Saccharomyces cerevisiae S288C: one gene and its partners. Changing the gene in region 1 together with any one later gene gives a genetic interaction. Each region holds a gene or a part of one and is shown on either strand. Other genes may lie near its edges.

What was found.
Region 2: mutations in YKL069W (region 1) and PAH1 together harm fitness more than expected from each alone (negative genetic interaction), as found in Saccharomyces cerevisiae (2 studies listed by BioGRID).
Region 3: mutations in YKL069W (region 1) and PML39 together harm fitness more than expected from each alone (negative genetic interaction), as found in Saccharomyces cerevisiae (2 studies listed by BioGRID).
Region 4: mutations in YKL069W (region 1) and YDR131C together harm fitness more than expected from each alone (negative genetic interaction), as found in Saccharomyces cerevisiae (2 studies listed by BioGRID).

The regions. Positions count from the first base shown.
Region 1 is NC_001143.9:304,709-309,211, reverse strand, and holds YKL069W (L-methionine (R)-S-oxide reductase), read right to left. Parts: upstream 1,928-4,503; coding exon 1,385-1,927; downstream 1-1,384. Other genes in the region: YKL068W-A (uncharacterized protein), read right to left, coding at 1-6; YKL070W (uncharacterized protein), read right to left, coding at 2,492-3,001; OSI1 (Osi1p), read right to left, coding at 3,328-4,098. UniProt on the Saccharomyces cerevisiae protein: Catalyzes the reversible oxidation-reduction of the R-enantiomer of free methionine sulfoxide to methionine. Does not act on S-enantiomer of free methionine sulfoxide or R-enantiomer of dabsylated methionine sulfoxide.
Region 2 is NC_001145.3:587,909-594,446, reverse strand, and holds PAH1 (phosphatidate phosphatase PAH1), read left to right. Parts: upstream 1-1,818; coding exon 1,819-4,407; downstream 4,408-6,538. Other genes in the region: MME1 (Mme1p), read left to right, coding at 1-1,080; MSS11 (Mss11p), read left to right, coding at 4,897-6,538. UniProt on the Saccharomyces cerevisiae protein: Mg(2+)-dependent phosphatidate (PA) phosphatase which catalyzes the dephosphorylation of PA to yield diacylglycerol. Required for de novo lipid synthesis and formation of lipid droplets.
Region 3 is NC_001145.3:54,050-59,249, reverse strand, and holds PML39 (Pml39p), read left to right. Parts: upstream 1-2,980; coding exon 2,981-3,985; downstream 3,986-5,200. Other genes in the region: MDM1 (Mdm1p), read left to right, coding at 1-311; RNA-binding signal recognition particle subunit SEC65, read left to right, coding at 563-1,384; orotate phosphoribosyltransferase URA5, read right to left, coding at 1,797-2,477; YML108W (uncharacterized protein), read right to left, coding at 4,140-4,457; ZDS2 (Zds2p), read right to left, coding at 4,782-5,200. UniProt on the Saccharomyces cerevisiae protein: Involved in the nuclear retention of improperly spliced pre-mRNAs.
Region 4 is NC_001136.10:715,557-721,212, forward strand, and holds YDR131C (uncharacterized protein), read right to left. Parts: upstream 2,905-5,656; coding exon 1,234-2,904; downstream 1-1,233. Other genes in the region: FIN1 (Fin1p), read right to left, coding at 191-1,066; MRX16 (Mrx16p), read right to left, coding at 3,260-4,747. UniProt on the Saccharomyces cerevisiae protein: Substrate recognition component of a SCF (SKP1-CUL1-F-box protein) E3 ubiquitin-protein ligase complex which mediates the ubiquitination and subsequent proteasomal degradation of target proteins. Probably recognizes and binds to phosphorylated target proteins.

The DNA of each region.
Region 1 (4,503 bases):
CTGCATTGTAGTTGATGATATATAATGTCGTTGATTTATGAGTTACTAGATGGCTACCATTAAGTCTCACTTGAAAATTCGCGGGAGCTGAGAGATGCAAGCATGTAACATTAGGTTCTGTAGTTATATATGATTGTTTCTTCCATTGCCTACATCAGAATCGAACTGTTCTAGGGCCTCACAGTCGAAACAAAAGTTTAGCGTTGTTTCGAGAAATGGCCGCACGAATGGCGATAGATGTCGAAATGCCACACTTTTAATTTTCTCGTTGCGTTTTTTTTTCTTTTTTGCCCTTAGCAGAGGGCAAAAAAGTGACAGAGGAGCCACAACTGCGGCCCGCGTGAACAAAAAACCCCATGATCTTTCTCAATTTTTTATTCGCATGCGACTCCTACATACACGGGACCTGCAAGGTGGTGCGGTGCAGCCACACGGAAGACTATTGTATACATATGTGATTGAAAATGCTTCTTTCCTTGAAAAGAAATAAAGGGATGCTACCTCTTCCTGTGGCACACCTTTCCTTGGACTTTGTATTGAGTAAGGATCCAGACACCTTTAGTGGCGAGCTTGATAATCCAGGTAACACAATATCGCCAATGATTTTTATCAAGTAAGACTATCGCATCCAGAAGATTATTAGTTTAATGTTGTTCGATAAGGCCTATTTTTAGGCTCTTTTTTCAACATTTCCAATCGTCATGTGAAAACTGTACAAGCCACTTAATTTCTCAAAGACCTCGCCACAGAGAAAAGCTCATATCTGTGGCATCACTTACTGCTTCTATGCATTGATAAATCTAGCTAGAATTTTCACCGATATCATGCAAGTAAATGATAGAAAATCATCACAGTTACGCATCAAACACATTTTGAACGTTCCTTTCTTCTTTACGGCAAAGTAAGCATGCCTTTAGCGAGACTGGGGTGAGCTGAAGAAGAACTTGCTGCACTATAGATATGACTTTAGATGTCCGTTATTCAACAATTAAGTGGTTTCGTGGTCTAGTCGGTTATGGCATCTGCTTAACACGCAGAACGTCCCCAGTTCGATCCTGGGCGAAATCAATTTTTTTTTCCGTCAGATATCTCCGTCATTTTCGTTGACGTTTTTTTCTTACCAAGCAAAGATATTTTTAATAAATGCTGAATATCCTTTGTTTGAGGGTAAACATGCCATAAATTTGCAATAAGGGTTACAAATAAAGATTGAGAGCTGTCAATTTGGCGAACAGGGAATGTTTTCTTCACCAATGATCTCCTGAAGCCCCTCAATCTTTCTTGATGTTTATCTCTATTCGTGCCCGTCCGACAATATATTTGACAAGAGAGCTACATGGGAATATTGGTTATGTGCGTAAATACTTGTTCGTTCTCAAAACTCTTATTTAAAGACACATGATTTATTAATTAATTTAGCAAGTTTTTCTAGGAATTCTTTGTCTACGTGGTCGAATCCTTCGTAATCCAAACAATCTATGTCTATGACGCCCAATGTCTTACCATCATTGGATATGATTGGAACAACAATTTCGCTCTTGGTTTCACCGTCGCACGCAATATGACCGGGATACTTGTTGACATCTGGAACAATCTGCGTTTCCTTTGTAGAGGCTGCAGTTCCGCAAACACCTTTACCGAATTGAATCATTTGGCAAGCGACCTTTCCTTGAAATGGGCCCAATATCAGTGTGTTTTCTTCGCTAGCTTGAGTAACGTAAAATCCAGCCCAATTGATATCAACAGCTAATGACTTGTACGCATGCCAGATCAATGACGAAGCGTTTGACAAATTACAAACCCAATTGACTTGTCCATCTGATAGCCCCTCGTATGAAAGCAGAAGCTGTTCTAGAATTTCTTCCTTATTCAGATTTGAAGAATAGTTAACATGATCGGCATGATGAAACCCGGTTGATGAGCCCATATCTGTTTGTTTTTTTTTGTTTTTTTTTCTAATTTACGGATTTGTTTTATCAGCAAACGCCTTTGTTTGCTTACATTTGGGAAAATCGTCATCATATAAACATGAAGAAACCGATGATATTAGCGTTCGTTAAAAAGGATAATACTTCGTTGTAAACTCAACTGTAAATATCTTTCTTCATTTCCTCCAAACATGGTTTTCTAACTGCAGGGAATAGGTAAACCTTTGCGTTTGTGTTCTTTCTGCATCACGGTGGGCCTTGCCCTCTGTTAAGTCAATATTAAAAGATAAGATAAGAAAAGAATGAAAACGAATAAATAATTATTGATATTTAATGCGCAGAGAAAATACAAAACTTATAAGCTACCTGGATAGTTATCTTTTACAAGGCGAGCCATTTCTTGGCCTCTTTCTCCACCAAATTCTTTGAATTTTCAACATATGCCTTCAACATTAATCTGTGATTTATTTTGGTCGAATTTGAACTTTGATTGAATATGGGTAATACTGATTTCAAGCCCGACAATGTTTTGAAGCATAGCATTGATATAATAATCTGGGGCATCAGAAACGCTCCACTTTACTTCGTACATTTTCCCCCTCAGGTCTTTTCTCTTCTTCTTGGTCAGTCAAAGTTGATAACATATTAATAAGCCAGTCTTTATCGTCGCGGATAATCCTTGGTGTACCGTAAACGTGCACAGCGGCAAAATCCCATGTTGGTACGAACTTATGGGTCTTTTTCTTCATTGGGAACCACGCCGGAGAAATGTATGAATCGACGCTCTGAAATACCACTAAGCATTTTTGAACTCTTTCCAGCATTTCCACATGTTTATTCTTCCGTGCTAAATGTGCAATAAGTTTATGCTCTCCATTATCGAACTCCACGAATACAAATGGAATATGTGATGCGCACATACCAAAATCGGGGTCATCTTTATTGGAAGAAGTTCTCCATCCGAAGAAACCTTGCCTGCTAGCCTTAGAGGAGAATAGTGTTCCTAGCGGGGGTTTTTTTGATAATTTGTACCTTGAGAGTTCCATGGACTCAAAATGTTTAGGAATGTACATTATGAAATAGATTCTTGGATTCTTCTCAGACTGGCAATTTATGTCTATAATATTAAGGGATGGTTTTCGGCGAATATGCAGAATCTTCGGTTCTAGGACCAGTTATATACCATCCTAATTAAAATCAGAGGACATAATAGAGATAGTTTCAAATCTGGTTAAGCGTTAAAAGATCAGCATACAAAGTGATGCCACAAAATACCTTCTTAAAGGGGCGTGAGGCAAAAGCAAAGTCACATCATATAGCACCTACCAATAAAAAAGTGTATTACACAAAGGTATATTCCGTATCTGAGTTGTATATAAGTAGCCAAATTTGCACTTATCTAAAAGACGCCTTCGCTGCCGTCATAGTTGAAGAACTTTCCATTATCTTCTGGTAAAATTTTTCGGAAGACATCAATTAGCGCAGAGGCACTTTCTTCTGGTGTGATAATATTTACGCCGCTGATGTCTATATTCTTCTCTTTAAAATGATCAAGGCCATATTGGCCCATATCAGTAGATACCATACCTGGGTGAAAAGCAACGACAGTAAAACCCTCCGGTTTCAATTCAAAACTGAGCGTCTTTACCGCATAATTCAAGGCAGCTTTCGATTGACCATAAGCGGAAACAGAAAGTGGTACAAACGCATTGATAGATCCTGCAACACTAGAGATAAAGAATATCTTCCTCGTCTTTTTCAAAAGAAGCAGTGGATAAACTTTTTGAAGGGCTAGTATCGGACCCAGAGCGTTTGTGCTATAATGGTTGAGCCAGACTGATTTGGGAGTTTCCAGGACCTTGTAATAAGAATCAGATACTGCAGAACATGCGATAAAAATATCAATACCCAAGAAGAATGGCGTTTTCTTGATCTCGTCCGCAATATTGCCAATACTTTCGTCCTTTGTAAGGTCAAGTTGGACAATATGGATATTCTTCCTGATTTTTGCTAAATCTTCCACTTGTTTGTTCTTGGGTAATGAAGGTGATCCACGAATAGAGGTTATAACTGTATTGCCCGTAGAAGCGCTTAAAATTTTGACCAAATTAAAACCAATTCCACGGCTACCACCGATGATAAAGTAAGTTATTCTTGATGAAGTATTCATATCGACTTTGTTTGCTTAGAATTCTACTGATTTATGCCACTGGTAAAGGCTTTATTCTTAAAAACGTCAAAAATTAGTTTTGAAGCATCGCCGCCTATTTATTATAACTGGTATACTATCTTACTTATTAGTACTACCATTTATACCGCTATGCATTACTAATCACATTACTAATCTCATTACTAATCTCATTACTAATCTCATTGCTAATCTCATTACTAATCTCATTACAAATAACTTTCTATTGAGGTATTTCTAGGGAATTGCGAAGTTGGTTTGCTTTTTATGAGACCCGCGGACGTTAATCGAAGATATAATCCACGGAAAAATTATATGTCCTGCAATTTGTGCACAGTATATTAATCGGGAACATATATGATTAGATTATTGCAAGTCATGCAAGCT
Region 2 (6,538 bases), on another chromosome or scaffold:
ATACCGATAATACATACGCCTCATGACCATCCCCCGACATCAGAAGGAACTCCAGATCAACCAAATAATAACCGAAAAGATGATAAACTGCACAAAAAAAGAGGCGATTCAGATGAGGACTTAAGCCCTATATGGCATTGTGTCGTCTCCGGTGGGATTGGTGGAAAAATAGGAGATTCTGCGATGCATTCATTGGATACTGTTAAGACAAGACAACAGGGCGCACCCAATGTCAAAAAATACAGGAACATGATCTCTGCATATCGTACCATTTGGCTAGAAGAAGGCGTGAGAAGGGGGCTATACGGCGGTTACATGGCTGCCATGTTAGGCTCCTTCCCGTCAGCGGCAATCTTCTTTGGGACCTATGAATATACTAAGAGAACAATGATAGAAGATTGGCAGATTAACGATACCATCACACATTTGAGCGCTGGATTTCTTGGCGATTTTATCTCCAGTTTTGTTTATGTTCCATCAGAGGTCCTAAAGACAAGGCTACAATTGCAAGGAAGGTTCAATAATCCTTTCTTTCAATCTGGCTATAATTATTCGAATTTAAGAAATGCCATAAAGACAGTTATAAAAGAAGAAGGGTTTCGCTCACTATTTTTTGGATACAAAGCCACTTTAGCCAGAGATTTGCCATTTAGTGCATTGCAGTTTGCCTTCTACGAAAAGTTTAGGCAATTGGCTTTCAAGATTGAACAGAAAGATGGTAGGGATGGTGAGTTGTCTATACCTAATGAAATATTGACTGGTGCCTGTGCAGGTGGACTGGCGGGAATCATTACCACACCAATGGATGTTGTTAAGACTAGAGTCCAAACTCAACAGCCGCCCAGCCAAAGCAACAAATCATACTCAGTAACACATCCACATGTAACAAACGGCAGACCGGCAGCACTTTCCAACTCGATTTCGCTCAGCCTTCGGACGGTCTACCAATCTGAAGGTGTGTTAGGTTTCTTTAGTGGCGTTGGCCCTAGATTCGTCTGGACAAGTGTTCAGAGCAGTATAATGTTGCTTCTGTATCAAATGACCCTACGCGGATTAAGTAACGCATTTCCAACGGACTAAGAGCCTGATTTCTGGCTCATCTAACTCTCTAGAGGATAATTTTATGTGATAAAACTTTTCCTACAAGCGGCTACAATAAAGACAGTACAAGGGACCTCACCCTATTCGCCATCACTGCACATCACAGTGGGTCTTGTACTTATCATTTCACATACATAGATATAGGTTCTTCCGAATAAGTTTTGTATATAGTCATTTACGGCAAGAATACTCATCTAAGTTTAATACGCATTTCTCTCTTCGTTCGCAGTTCCTAACACTGAGCGTTCTTGTTTGGAGGGCTCGTTTAAAAAAAAGTCTAACAAATGTGACAGATTTGCTTGAACAGGGTCCAAACTCATCTTGTATATCATAACACTACATCACTGGGAGACAAAATCGAAGTGCCCACGTGCTGCTCATTCTCTAAACGGTCTGTCGCGGGCCCTTTTCGTCCTTCGGTTTCCCTCCCTTTAGACAATGGGCTCTCTTTTCTCTATTATCTATCTCTTTTTCTCGGCTTTTCCGGCCAGCGTTGAAAGCAGCGCACGGTGAGGGTAGAAGGAAGAGCAAGGACAAGTGAAGAGTAGGCCATCGTGGGGGCTTGTGTTTATAAAGAAAATACATTCAACAATTTAGTAAAACGTGTTCAAGAAGTGTTAATCAGACCAATTGGACACTACACCTTCGTAATCACAGTTTTACCTTCTAAGAAACATACAGGGAAGAAATTACTGAAGATAGACACATCGGTCGATTATGCAGTACGTAGGCAGAGCTCTTGGGTCTGTGTCTAAAACATGGTCTTCTATCAATCCGGCTACGCTATCAGGTGCTATAGATGTCATTGTAGTGGAGCATCCAGACGGAAGGCTATCATGTTCTCCCTTTCATGTGAGGTTCGGCAAATTTCAAATTCTAAAGCCATCTCAAAAGAAAGTCCAAGTGTTTATAAATGAGAAACTGAGTAATATGCCAATGAAACTGAGTGATTCTGGAGAAGCCTATTTCGTTTTCGAGATGGGTGACCAGGTCACTGATGTCCCTGACGAATTGCTTGTGTCGCCCGTGATGAGCGCCACATCAAGCCCCCCTCAATCACCTGAAACATCCATCTTAGAAGGAGGAACCGAGGGTGAAGGTGAAGGTGAAAATGAAAATAAGAAGAAGGAAAAGAAAGTGCTAGAGGAACCAGATTTTTTAGATATCAATGACACTGGAGATTCAGGCAGTAAAAATAGTGAAACTACAGGGTCGCTTTCTCCTACTGAATCCTCTACAACGACACCACCAGATTCAGTTGAAGAGAGGAAGCTTGTTGAGCAGCGTACAAAGAACTTTCAGCAAAAACTAAACAAAAAACTCACTGAAATCCATATACCCAGTAAACTTGATAACAATGGCGACTTACTACTAGACACTGAAGGTTACAAGCCAAACAAGAATATGATGCATGACACAGACATACAACTGAAGCAGTTGTTAAAGGACGAATTCGGTAATGATTCAGATATTTCCAGTTTTATCAAGGAGGACAAAAATGGCAACATCAAGATCGTAAATCCTTACGAGCACCTTACTGATTTATCTCCTCCAGGTACGCCTCCAACAATGGCCACAAGCGGATCAGTTTTAGGCTTAGATGCAATGGAATCAGGAAGTACTTTGAATTCGTTATCTTCTTCACCTTCTGGTTCCGATACTGAGGACGAAACATCATTTAGCAAAGAACAAAGCAGTAAAAGTGAAAAAACTAGCAAGAAAGGAACAGCAGGGAGCGGTGAGACCGAGAAAAGATACATACGAACGATAAGATTGACTAATGACCAGTTAAAGTGCCTAAATTTAACTTATGGTGAAAATGATCTGAAATTTTCCGTAGATCACGGAAAAGCTATTGTTACGTCAAAATTATTCGTTTGGAGGTGGGATGTTCCAATTGTTATCAGTGATATTGATGGCACCATCACAAAATCGGACGCTTTAGGCCATGTTCTGGCAATGATAGGAAAAGACTGGACGCACTTGGGTGTAGCCAAGTTATTTAGCGAGATCTCCAGGAATGGCTATAATATACTCTATCTAACTGCAAGAAGTGCTGGACAAGCTGATTCCACGAGGAGTTATTTGCGATCAATTGAACAGAATGGCAGCAAACTACCAAATGGGCCTGTGATTTTATCACCCGATAGAACGATGGCTGCGTTAAGGCGGGAAGTAATACTAAAAAAACCTGAAGTCTTTAAAATCGCGTGTCTAAACGACATAAGATCCTTGTATTTTGAAGACAGTGATAACGAAGTGGATACAGAGGAAAAATCAACACCATTTTTTGCCGGCTTTGGTAATAGGATTACTGATGCTTTATCTTACAGAACTGTGGGGATACCTAGTTCAAGAATTTTCACAATAAATACAGAGGGTGAGGTTCATATGGAATTATTGGAGTTAGCAGGTTACAGAAGCTCCTATATTCATATCAATGAGCTTGTCGATCATTTCTTTCCACCAGTCAGCCTTGATAGTGTCGATCTAAGAACTAATACTTCCATGGTTCCTGGCTCCCCCCCTAATAGAACGTTGGATAACTTTGACTCAGAAATTACTTCAGGTCGCAAAACGCTATTTAGAGGCAATCAGGAAGAGAAATTCACAGACGTAAATTTTTGGAGAGACCCGTTAGTCGACATCGACAACTTATCGGATATTAGCAATGATGATTCTGATAACATCGATGAAGATACTGACGTATCACAACAAAGCAACATTAGTAGAAATAGGGCAAATTCAGTCAAAACCGCCAAGGTCACTAAAGCCCCGCAAAGAAATGTGAGCGGCAGCACAAATAACAACGAAGTTTTAGCCGCTTCGTCTGATGTAGAAAATGCGTCTGACCTGGTGAGTTCCCATAGTAGCTCAGGATCCACGCCCAATAAATCTACAATGTCCAAAGGGGACATTGGAAAACAAATATATTTGGAGCTAGGTTCTCCACTTGCATCGCCAAAACTAAGATATTTAGACGATATGGATGATGAAGACTCCAATTACAATAGAACTAAATCAAGGAGAGCATCTTCTGCAGCCGCGACTAGTATCGATAAAGAGTTCAAAAAGCTCTCTGTGTCAAAGGCCGGCGCTCCAACAAGAATTGTTTCAAAGATCAACGTTTCAAATGACGTACATTCACTTGGGAATTCAGATACCGAATCACGAAGGGAGCAAAGTGTTAATGAAACAGGGCGCAATCAGCTACCCCACAACTCAATGGACGATAAAGATTTGGATTCAAGAGTAAGCGATGAATTCGATGACGATGAATTCGACGAAGATGAATTCGAAGATTAAAGATTCTTGTAGCCGAATATTATTTATAACGATCCATACTGCATATTAAGTAAAATTATGAAGTACTAAGTAACAATTTTTCAATTTTATTTAAGAAAAGAGAAGGAAAAAAAAAAGAAGAAAATTTTTTGATAGAAGAAAAAGGTAAACGATGATTGTTACGTACCAAGTGTTCTTCTGAGCTATTTGGTAATTACATACTTCTTCGAAATGTCAAGGTAAATACTTTTCTATACGCACACGAAACTCGCTTGCTGCAACAGGTATTACGTCAGGTGAAAAAAGCGGCCAAGAGGCAATGCCGAAATACAATGCGTGTATAACAGGAAGAGGAGGGGTATAATAAAATCACCATAGTAGAAAAGACCAGAAAGATTTCTATTGCAATCCTGTGTGACTCTTTTGGTTTTTCCCTTTGGTATCTCCCGGTTCTTTTGTCAATTTTTCGTTAAACTGCAGTGAAATAAGAAAAAGGTGCATGATAAAGATATGGATAACACGACCAATATTAATACAAATGAGCGCTCTAGTAACACGGATTTTAGCTCAGCTCCCAATATCAAAGGTTTGAATAGCCATACTCAGTTGCAGTTTGATGCGGATTCTCGAGTTTTCGTTTCGGATGTAATGGCTAAGAACTCTAAGCAATTATTGTACGCCCATATTTATAACTATTTAATCAAAAACAATTACTGGAACTCTGCCGCAAAATTTTTAAGCGAAGCTGACCTTCCTTTATCTAGAATAAACGGATCTGCTTCGGGTGGGAAAACTAGCTTGAACGCCAGCCTGAAGCAGGGATTAATGGATATTGCATCTAAGGGTGACATTGTTAGTGAAGATGGGCTATTACCTTCGAAAATGCTGATGGACGCTAATGACACGTTTTTACTGGAATGGTGGGAAATTTTTCAATCATTGTTCAATGGAGACCTAGAATCTGGGTACCAACAGGATCATAATCCTTTAAGAGAGAGAATAATACCAATTTTGCCAGCTAATTCTAAATCTAATATGCCTTCCCATTTCTCTAATCTCCCACCAAATGTGATTCCACCAACTCAAAATAGTTTTCCAGTTTCAGAGGAGAGTTTTAGGCCCAATGGTGACGGAAGTAACTTTAATTTAAACGATCCAACCAATCGAAACGTCTCCGAAAGATTTCTATCGAGAACTTCCGGTGTCTACGACAAACAGAATAGCGCTAATTTTGCACCTGATACTGCTATAAACAGTGATATTGCTGGGCAGCAGTACGCAACTATAAATCTACATAAACACTTCAATGATTTGCAATCACCAGCACAGCCCCAGCAATCATCTCAACAGCAGATCCAGCAGCCTCAGCATCAACCCCAGCATCAACCGCAACAGCAACAGCAACAGCAACAACAACAACAACAACAGCAACAGCAACAGCAACAGCAACAGCAGCAACAGCAACAGCAACAGCAACAACATCAACAGCAGCAACAGACACCGTATCCTATTGTCAACCCACAAATGGTCCCTCATATTCCATCGGAAAATTCTCATTCAACCGGACTTATGCCTTCAGTGCCTCCTACAAATCAACAATTTAATGCACAAACCCAATCTTCAATGTTTTCAGACCAGCAGCGCTTCTTTCAATATCAATTACACCACCAAAATCAAGGACAGGCGCCATCTTTTCAGCAAAGCCAATCTGGCAGGTTTGATGACATGAACGCTATGAAAATGTTTTTTCAGCAGCAAGCACTACAGCAAAATTCACTACAGCAAAATCTTGGAAATCAAAATTATCAATCTAATACACGTAACAATACTGCGGAAGAAACTACGCCCACAAATGACAATAACGCAAATGGCAATAGTTTATTGCAAGAACACATACGAGCCCGCTTCAATAAGATGAAAACAATTCCTCAACAAATGAAAAATCAAAGCACTGTCGCAAATCCGGTTGTTAGTGATATAACATCTCAACAGCAGTACATGCATATGATGATGCAAAGAATGGCGGCTAACCAGCAATTACAAAATAGTGCCTTTCCTCCAGACACTAATCGTATAGCGCCAGCTAACAACACTATGCCATTACAACCAGGAAATATGGGGTCTCCTGTCATTGAAAATCCAGGTATGAGGC
Region 3 (5,200 bases), on another chromosome or scaffold:
AGGATCAAGTATTTGAAGCAATAGTTACATTCAAGAATATGCTATGGGGTGATAACGGTCTGTTCGAAAGAAAAAGAAATGAAACGGCAGAGGCAACAAGAAGCGAAGGTGAAAGGTTACGGACGGAACAACTCGCTTTAACCAGTTTGCAAAGACTCTTCGCAGACACTTGTGGTCGTGTAGTTGGTCTAAGAGATTCTCATGAAGCTGCTGGCCGGGTCCATGCCATGCTACAGAATCCGTATTTAAATGCCAGCTTACTGTTGGAAGCTCTTGATGCAATTTTATTGGACATAATATGTAATGACTGAAAATAAAACTTGACTAAGTACCGAACAATCTAAAAAAAAAAGTGTAATTGTCACAATAGCAAATAAATTGGTACACTTCTTCAGCCGCTTTAAAAATTGTGTACTTCTTCTTAAAACAATTGGGAAGTATTTATTTTTCACGCTTTTGTAATCTGAAAAAAAAAAAAATATCAATGATATTCAACAGGCTAGCAACTAACGAAATCAAAAGAAATAAAATAAGCCATAAGCTATAGTATCATAAAGTCAAAATGCCTAGATTAGAAGAGATTGACGATTTCAATGATATCGACGACCTTGATATGGAATTGGCCGAGTTAGATCCATCTTTGAGGACGCCGATCGCTCCCAAGATAACGCCTAAGGTTGTAAGGAGCCAGGACCAAGAGAACCCTGCATTTTTACCTGGCACGAATAACAACAGTAATAGCAACAACAATAGTAGCAACGAAAAAGAGCAGTTGAGTTTTATTAACCCAAAAACTGGTAAGGTTGAACGTTCGGAGGCTATTTCGAAGAAAGATTTAGAAGAAGTCAAAAGATTCCAAGTACTCTATCCATGTTACTTTGACATAAACAGATCACATAAGGAAGGGAGAAGGGTTCCTAAGGAGTTGGCTGTTGAAAATCCTTTGGCTAAAACTATGGCAGATGCTGTCCGTGAATTGGGAATATTATGCATTTTTGAAGGTGAAAAATGTCACCCACAAGATTTTGGTAATCCTGGTAGAATTCGTGTACTTTTCAAAGAAAATGGACAATTAATTGGCGCAGCCACTAAATTCAAAGGTGGAAAGAGGCAATTAATGAAAGCTGTTGGGGAGTATATGAAAAGACATCCAACTACTATTGAATCTTTAAGGGAGATTCCATATGGCCCTGATTTCGACAATATTGAATTCAAAAAGATTCCACGTGTAAAGGGATTCAAAATGAATGAGATTGTTCCGCTGCATAGTCCGTTCTTGATGGGCCACCCAATGACAAAATCTGTTTACGAAACTCCTAAGATTACAGCGGCAGAAAAGTCGTTCAAGCCACCAAAAAATAAGTACAAAGTAGTTAGAAGATGATTGTCTCCTTTACCCATTTATGTATATGTATATGTATATTGAGATTAATATATTAATATATTAATAGATTATAATAGCAGAACTATAAGAATATGATGTTTGTTCAGATCAAGTGCTAAATGACTTGTTGTATCAGCTTTTAAATTTTTACATCAAGACAAATCAATTATTCGTATTATTTCGTCTGTAGTTGAAACAGAGTTCAATAAGCCAAGAGTTTTGAAGCAGCTACAGGCAAGAGGTACCGAAACACAGAAAAAAGTAACAAGAAAACTCTCTCGCTCTATATATATGTGTGTGAATATACGCTATTTATACACATATATAGATGAGCGGCGTGCATGTATCGTAGTAACTAAGATTAATAGTTCTTAAAAGAGATAAATAAATCATTTAATTAAAAAACTGATTTTTAAGCGGAGGCACCGTAGGTTTGAAGGTATTGTTCGATCTTGCTTTTCTCTTCTGCTGTTATTCTGCCTTCCAAATAGGTAATTATGTGAATTAAGGAGACAATGCTCAAGACTGGGATACCGTATTTTTTGCTAACAGTTTGAGTGGCGCTGAGTCCTTCTTTATCGTCAGTACTCACAACTTCCTGTCTATCAAGAGCAATTATGGAGCCAACTACCTGACCCTTGGCGTTACTGATGATCTCAAAGGCCTCGTTAATGGCAGTACCAGCAGTCATGACGTCGTCGATGATTAATATTCTCTTGTTCTCTAGGGCAGAGCCGACAATGATACCACCTTCACCATGATCTTTGGCTTCCTTTCTGTTAAAAGCGTACTGAATGTTTTGAAATTTAGAGCCACCAATCTCCGCCAATTTCACACAAACAATAGCAGCAAGTGGGATACCTTTGTAGGCAGGACCGAAAATCACATCAAATTTCAAATCAGATTGTATGATGGCAATTGCATACGCAGTAGCCAAATTGGAAAGCAATTTACCAGTATTGAACAATCCCAAATTAAAGAAATATGGCGATTCTCTACCTGATTTCAACTTGAATGAACCAAATCTTAGAGCCTGGCATTCGATGGCCAACTCTAGAAAGTTCTTTTGGTAGTCTTCCAACATAATAGGCATTTTGAATAACTTTCTTAATCTTTAATTTTTTTGTGTATCCTTCATACAATGTCAGACACAATAATACGCAACCAAAATTCCGTTAGTAGTATATCGCAGAAGTAATGCTTTATGGAAATTTTGAATGAATCTTATTTGACAAATAAAAGCCTGTTAATAATAAGAAGTGTCTTTATTCAAAAAAGGAACGTAAAGTTGGAACAATGATTGAAATACCCCACAAAATTCTCCCAAAAAAAAAAAGACAAAATGCAATTTCCTTTTGAAATGTATTCAAAAAATAAATTTGTTAAAAACCTCTGATTGATGATGAGATCAAACTACCAAACAATTGTTATCAAATCAAAATGCTCTTTGTTTTGCTTATTGAATATGGAAAATGTTTGAAAAATTTTCAAGCGCTAGTCATTCGGAACGAAAGTAACTGTCATCTTGAAATCTATGGTAAAGGAGAAATAAAACATTATTCCCCAGGAATTGACAGGAAAGTAGGGCAGTTACTAATGGAAAAGGACGCATTGGAGGTTAGACTGAAGTCTATTAGACATTCGCTGGACAAGAATACCAAACTTTTACCGGGAAAATATAGGAATACTCTAGGAGAGCGACTTATTACCAAATGGAGGTACAAGAAGAAATCCCATAATGGCAGTTCAATGTTGCCTGAAAAATGTAAGAGCCACGTGCAATTGTATGATGATTTGGTACAAGAAAGCTCTAAACATTTTGTTGGTTTCCGATTACACGATCTTCGGGCCTTGTTGAAAAGAATATGCTCCATTCAAAACTACACAAGGCATGTGCTCATTGAATGGGACGTTCGATGGGTCAATCCACTGACTCTAGCATCCAAGGGCTGGGAGCCGTACCAAAGTGCATCCCAGTCGCAAGTGCCATTTAAGTGCTGTTGTTGCCATGCCATTATGACAATTCCTTTATTAAAAAATGGCGATGATGTCGCCGATTACACCATGAAATTGAATGAAAAAATCTGGAATTCCAATATAATTGGAAATCATCTCCAAAAGTGTCCGTGGAGGGAAAATCAGGTTGATTTAAACAAAGAGTATTATTTAAGCTCACAAAACCTTATAAGGGAAATTGAAAGAATTCATACAGAAATTGACAGAATTGTTTCCGGATCAAATGAATTTAGCCTTAAAAGAAACTCTTCCCGTATATTTCATTACTTGTCTGAGAAAGAAATACAAAAATTGGCATTTTTTTTCGATTGTAAAGACTATTCTCTCGTAGGTCTGTTGCTTCTCGGCTACACGAAATTCCAGAAGGATGATCTGGTTCAATGCACGGCTTGCTTTCATCGAGCATCCCTGAAGAAGTTAGAATATACAGAATTTAACGGACACGCTCTATGGTGTCGGTATTACAACAAAGAGTTGTTGCCCACAATGTTGCTGGAGTTAATCGGCAAGGAGGACAAACTAATAACGAAATTGGGCGTGGGAGAAAGACTAAATAAATTAGAGGCTGTTCTACAAACTTTATAAATTAGATGTAATACATTATCCAAATTCTCATATGCTTGTATATGCCCCCATGCTGATGCGCAGATTCTGTCACTCTCTCTTTAAATTACGTGCACATATGCATACGCAACAGTCACGTTATATTCATGCAAAAAACCGAAGCAACATCATTATTTCAGTTATTCTCTTCGACAAATTTCTTTACTTTTTCGACAACCTCTTCAATTTCCTTATCTAGCATAAGTACAATTAAACCATCGCTACTAATTTCGTATTTGATATGACCTTCGTTCGGTATACATATTTCGGCATCGAACTTATCAAACCAGGTATTTAATTCGTCCAGTTCGTCAACATTAAATGGAAGTATCAACTCGTCAACAAATTCATGCATTTTTCCCGGCTTACCTTTCAAAAATTTTTCATCTTCTTTATTTATCTTGGTGTCGTCTTCTAGTAAGACGAGCATCCTATAAGTATTACTCTTGGACATTTCGTTTTTCTCTTTCGTCTTAGTGTAGTACGAGATAGAATTCAACCGCAAGGTAGCCTTGCTGTATTGGACAGATCATTCGAATTTGTTCCAAATAGGATGAGATGAGGTCGGCTTTTCTTCATTCTCGCTAGAAAATTTAAAAAAAAAGAAAAAAATAATTACATAAATATATATTTATATGTATATACTGTAGTCCTTCCTTGCATGAAAAGACGACGTTTTTCGTGATAATAAGAAGTTTGACACTAAAAGGGCATCCTTACAATACTTGAAATATGTGGCCTTATATAGGTATCTATCAATCTTGTAAACAGTTATGAGTTAAATGTCTGGAATTAAGATTGTGCCATCAGAATCATTTTTGTCCATCATTCCCAAGGCAGAATCACCATTGAAGGCTATATCTCCAGTGCCCACCTGCTCCATGTATAAGGTATGATTGACTAAATTCAAGTAGGAGTACATGAAGTTACTTAGCAATACTTGTTGTCTTAATTCCCTCCCGGGATCGCTAAGCTTCAGATGGCTGAGTCTGTAAATAGCCCTTTCAACATTAATTCCTAGACGATGGTCAAACATAATCACTGTAGAGTTGGTTATCATTGGTAATGGGAATCCAAAAGCACTGTCTGTGAATTTTATTGGAGCGTTTGAGTAATCTGGTTTAACGACATCTTCAAATGTCAATTTTCTTGGAGGCAAAGTTGAGATTTGAGGGGCAGTAGGTGAAGTGTTGTCTT
Region 4 (5,656 bases), on another chromosome or scaffold:
AGGCCATCGGGAACAAGAAGAAAAGCCGTTCACGTAAGAAAATAGGACCCTATATCCGGTCAGGATCACTCAAGCTGTATGTAAATGTAATATAGACAAAGCACCTTTAACTGCTAAGAATTAATTATAGTGTCGGAAATATAACATAACTTGCTTACTTCCTGTGTAAAAAATGTGAGAAGGGATATGATTACTTATGTTTCGGTATTTCCGTGAGTTGAAGTTCGATATTGGATAATCTTGATTCAATCTCTCGCTGTCTTCTCAACATTTGTAGTAGCAAGTCCTTTATTTCTTTAAGTTCCACGGTTTCTTCAGTCACTATATTATCAGGTAGTTTAAATTTTACACTTTTCTGGAAACTAGCTTTGTGTATCTTACCTTCGTTCGCCAGCATGGAATTCAGTTTAGTGTTCGATTTAGTAAGGGATTCTATGCCATTTCCCACGTCTTCCTCTTCTTTCTTGAGTTCAACTAATAAATTCTTCCCTTTCAATTTAGCTCGAGGAAGGTCATTCTCAAATGGGGCGTCCTTGAGCTCAGTATTAGAACAGAGGTCAGTGTTGCTTTTGGCATCCGATGGGAGAATATGTTGCTGCTGTTGCTGCTGTATCCTTTCAGGTGACATGAGTCCATTCTTAAACCGGGCCCGTATTCTCGTTAACGAACCATCACCCCCGATTTTATTTTCATTACTGAATGTCAGTTTGGTTGGTGATGTAGGGAATATTATATTAGTTATATGATCTGAGTTTTGGATCTTCACATTTTTATTCGAATTTTTGAACTGAGGCCTATCCAGGCTTTGAGTTTCCTTAGAGACATAGCCCTTCAGACATTCCGGCGACATAATCCTTCTTGGTGTTACTTGTATACTATGCTTCATTCCATCTGTCTTGTTAGGTGATATCCTCATAGGTGGTTTCAAAAACTCTTTTTGGCTTGTCGTCCTCAAAGGGGACATACTCAATCTCACAAAGACATTGTCCTTGTCACTTGGTATATTATTTCGACCAATCGTATTCCCTATGTCACGTAAACTCCTGCGGTTGCTTTTATTGCTCATAATTTGTTTTATTGAACTATGTCACATCACTGCAATCCAGTGAGAACACTGAGAAAGCTCTAACTAGACTATACAATCCATTTGTTTTGATTTCCTCTTGTTGACAATTTGCAGTATTTAGAGTATATATCATTATGTACGTGTTATAACCGCCATGTCTCACAGTATCAACTAAATAGAGCTTCTGCGTCCACCAATTCATAAACAGAGTTGCTTTTATAGCCATTATTATAGAAGAGGGGAACCGCGCATCGTTGTAACTCGTCCACTTGTATTATTTTTGTAGGTATACCGTTGATGGTTAGATATTCTAAGTTCGGCAAACTTTGCTCAAAAACTTTAAATACGTCTTTTAGATAATGAAGGTATAAGTGGTACAAACTAATGGCATCTTCTCTAGTAATTTTATTCACTGTAATATTCTCAGTATTTTCTATGGTGCTTTGCAGATTTTCATTGAACTTTCGTACAAACGTTTCAATAGGTACAGAATCCCATCCCATCGCAGGTGATTCGTTGTCAATAATGTTTGTATAGGGCATGATCTTGTTCTCGAAAAACATTTGGTAAAAGAAATTATGGGCTTGGAACTTATTTGGGTTCTTTAAAAGTTTTGACCGGGTTTCAGGAAAGATTTTTTTTAGAATGACCTCGTGAATTGTATTTTTGCAAGTTGAACAAGGGCAGAAACCATCGAAATTCAAGCGAGTTAGTGGGTTATCTGTCATGGGAAAAAAAAGCCTGTGATTTAGTTGGCAGTGTATGTCAAAACGCTGTAATTTTTTGCCACACACTTGTTTAGATAAGAAGTTAATCAACGACACATCGAAGTCAAATTTACCCATGTAATCAAGTTTCAGTATCTTTAAATTGTGAAACACAGCCAAACAATTCATTAGAAAAAATTCGCTGTAAACCAATGACGCTAATGATAGTTTCTCAATGTTCGGAAATTTCCAAAATCCTTCTAGCCCCCATTTGACATATAACCTGTCAAAACCACCTTCTTCGCCAGAGGGAAAATCGTCGCGACTGTACCAAGACAAAATCTCTAGCTGCCTTAAGGTGGAAGCATCAAATATGTCGATGTATTCTAGCTCTTTTAAGAAGTCATCGGAAGCGTCGTACTCCGCAAGGTTAAGTGTGTCGGGTCGCAAATTTAATACCAATGCTTTGATCTTCATAGGAGACCCGGTATTTTTGAAGTACTTCAATGCGTTTATATGAATGGAAAGTTTTTCTAATCGAGATAGATCGCACTTCAAGAGCAACCGATCAATTTTATTCAAATAAGAACCGCTTACACTGTTATGGGTGGGCATTAACGTTGGTGGCGTTAATGTTAGAGTTTTTAATTGCTTTGATAAAGGTTCTAGCCCCTTGTTAACTGATGAGCGAACAAATTGATCGACAAATTTCAAATTGGATCCATACTCGGATAGCAATTTAAGTACATTTGTCATCACATCTTCATTTAAATGCCATGTACAACGTATTCGATTAATTAAGGGACATAATCTTTTCGGTGACTCTGCTAATGTTCTTTCGAAATAACTAAATTTCACTTTAGCTAGTCTTCTATTCGACATGTCGTTTTTAGTATTGGAATCATCTTCATCTATGTAGTGAAAGTTTAGGACAGACCAATAACAGGTTCCAAATGAGTTATCATAGTCACCATTGATGTGATAGGTTTCATTAAGAAATAAATTCTGGTAGATGAAAGGTATAATTGATTCATAGGATCTTTTGCATACATATGTTAACGAAATTTTATCTTCCTGCGGAATTCTCCAGGCAATTTGTTTAAAAATCTCATAAGGTAACTTATCAAACATTTTTCGGGCCCTTTCAAATTGGCAGTAGGGTTATTTTTATCTATTTTAAGACACCAAAGTTTCTTCTTTTTGCACACATTATCCTACTATTTTCTCTACGTTACTTTATCTCTGGTTTTAAGAGGTGTCTGTATCCTAATTCCCGAAGTCGATTTTTTTCTTACATATTAACTGATAAATAACAAGAGAAAAGAGACAAGAGCCTACAAAAAGTAAGAAAAGAAGCTACTACAGGAATGTGAGTTACAATGGGTTTCCGTTATACTTCAAGTACTATAATGGCATATAAAAAATACAACGGAGAGCATACATATACTTAAAAGCTTGGCAGAAGAGTAATTTTATCAAGCTAATCCTACAGATATTCATATCCCTTGTAGTATTCCTTAGTTCCGTTAAATGCTATAGCTTTAATAGCTATCAGCATAATATTGCCATCTTTCACGGCCAGTTTCCAGAGAGACTTTCTTAAGTAAAGCTTTAAACCAGAACAAAATCTAAGGTCAAGTGGATCAGACACGTCAATGACCCTGTCATTGAATTTATTTTTATCAGTTAGCAAAGTTTGAACTTGAGAAATCTTAATGCCGTTTATGTCCAAATCACAGAGATATATGCATGCTGGAAGTAAATAATGAGTTTCAATTTTCGTCTGCGTACTATCGGATGGGAACCGATACTGGTAATTTTTCAACTTAGGCGCACCAGAGGGTGTATTTGGCAAATGACTTCCAAATAAGGCCTCAAACTTATAGGCGGATTCTCCAGTTATGTCTACATGGATACTTTGGCTTTCCTTATTGAGGATTATCGTACAATCAGTCGAATTTATTTGAAATATCAACTCTCTCGGATGCTTATCTAAAAAAGGTCTCTTATAACAAAGCATATTCCAGGAATCGTTATATTTTTCAGTCATGTCAAGTTTAATCTTTTTATTTGCTGGCTGTTCACGGGTTTTTGATAGCGAGTCGCATTCATTTATGCTACAGAAATCGTCTTCAAAGTAGGGCGAGGTTGAAAATGCAGAAGAAGCTGGAAAAGTGATGCCTTTTTTTGACAAATCCTTCAATAGGAGGCAAATCTCTTCTTTCCTTGTTATTGGGTTATAGCTAATATGAGATTTGATTAGCCGCTGTTCGAGATTTAAAAGCCTGTAATAACGGCACTCTTTTATCAAGGCATTTCTTTTATTATCATCTAGATCGATGGATGCTCCTCCCAGTAACGTCAGCAAATCTTTGAAGTACTCAGAAGATCTTGGAATGTAAGGAGCAGAATGAGATGGAGGCCTTAATAGTTTTTTAGATATTATCAGCTCTTCCACATCGATATAAACTGTAGCCGCATATATTTCGAAATAATTTGGGGAATCTCCTTCTCTTCTAAATAAATTTTTCGCTATCTTGAATGATTGTCCACCAATGTTGGTAAAATAATAGTCCGTTTCTTTCAGTAAAGATCGCAATCGCGGTAAATTGTAGTACATCGCATCTGCGAAAAGCATGGTATATTGTACTTCATCCTTAATCTCAATTATATATCCTTGCAAATGTTGATAGATCCATTCAAAAACTTCGGCTGATCTGTCTATGAATAGAACCTCATTTTTATTAGATTCCATGGTATCGTTATTACTGTCATCGTTATTGGAAGGAGAGCGCTTCTTAGAAAAATATTCGGTGAAGAAACTAGGACCATCCGAGCTTAAAGAAGCACCGCTGATTTTGAATAATGATTTCCCCACCTGAATCTTATACATTTTCTCGTGTGGGAGTATTTGAGGAATATTCGGATCGAAATATTCTTGTGACAAAGTTGCTACTGTTGGAGAATTTGACATTTTCTATATGATTATATTGGGAACTTTCTTTGTTGGTAATATTTACGAGTGCCACAGACCGGTCTTTAATTCGCTATCTTTCGTTAGATTATGGTATATAACATTCACACATAAGATATACATTTTTTTCACTGCTCAGACTATTCAATTTTATTCGAGAGGAGAATCCATTAGAATTTTGACTTAGTAAGCAATTGCGGCTTACATGATTTTCCAAGAAGTTCAGTCGCCCGTGCAACAAAGACAAAAGCAAGCTAAGAAAAATGCCAGCTCAGTGGTCCGGATAAAATCTTAAAAGGATACGTTTGTAAAAGAAGCAATGATAAGCCGGCCAGATCGTAATAATGAATCACTAATATAAAACTATTATATTTCAGAAAAGAGGAAACCGAGATAGACTCATCGTCCGCTTATTATGTAAGATATTGAATCCATGTTCTTGATTAGCGTAAACCGACTGGGCAAACAAAAAAACATTATTTTTGAATTAACGAACCTTAAACAACCTATATTAAGATATATGATAAAAATACAATGCAACCAGTATATATAAAAAAAGTTTAGTTGCGTGTAACCTAAGAGATATTAACTTTATATTAATATTATTATAATAAACATTTAGTTATGGAGTGTTGCCTCCTAGAATTAGAATAAGAAATTACCAGAATATCTTATTAATTGAAATAAAACGATTTTGTGGAAGCTGTATTGACGGAAAAGTACTTAACCATTTTTCTAAAAATATATTAAAGAAAAGGTTGAGTAAATTACAACAATAAAGCGGCAGCACCAGCCAACAAAGCACCGGCAGCTGGCAAAGCCTTAACAGCGGCACCAGTGTAGGAGGTAACAGTTTGAGTGCTAGAACCTTGTTGGGTTGGCTTTTCAGTTGGCTTTTCGGTTGGCTTT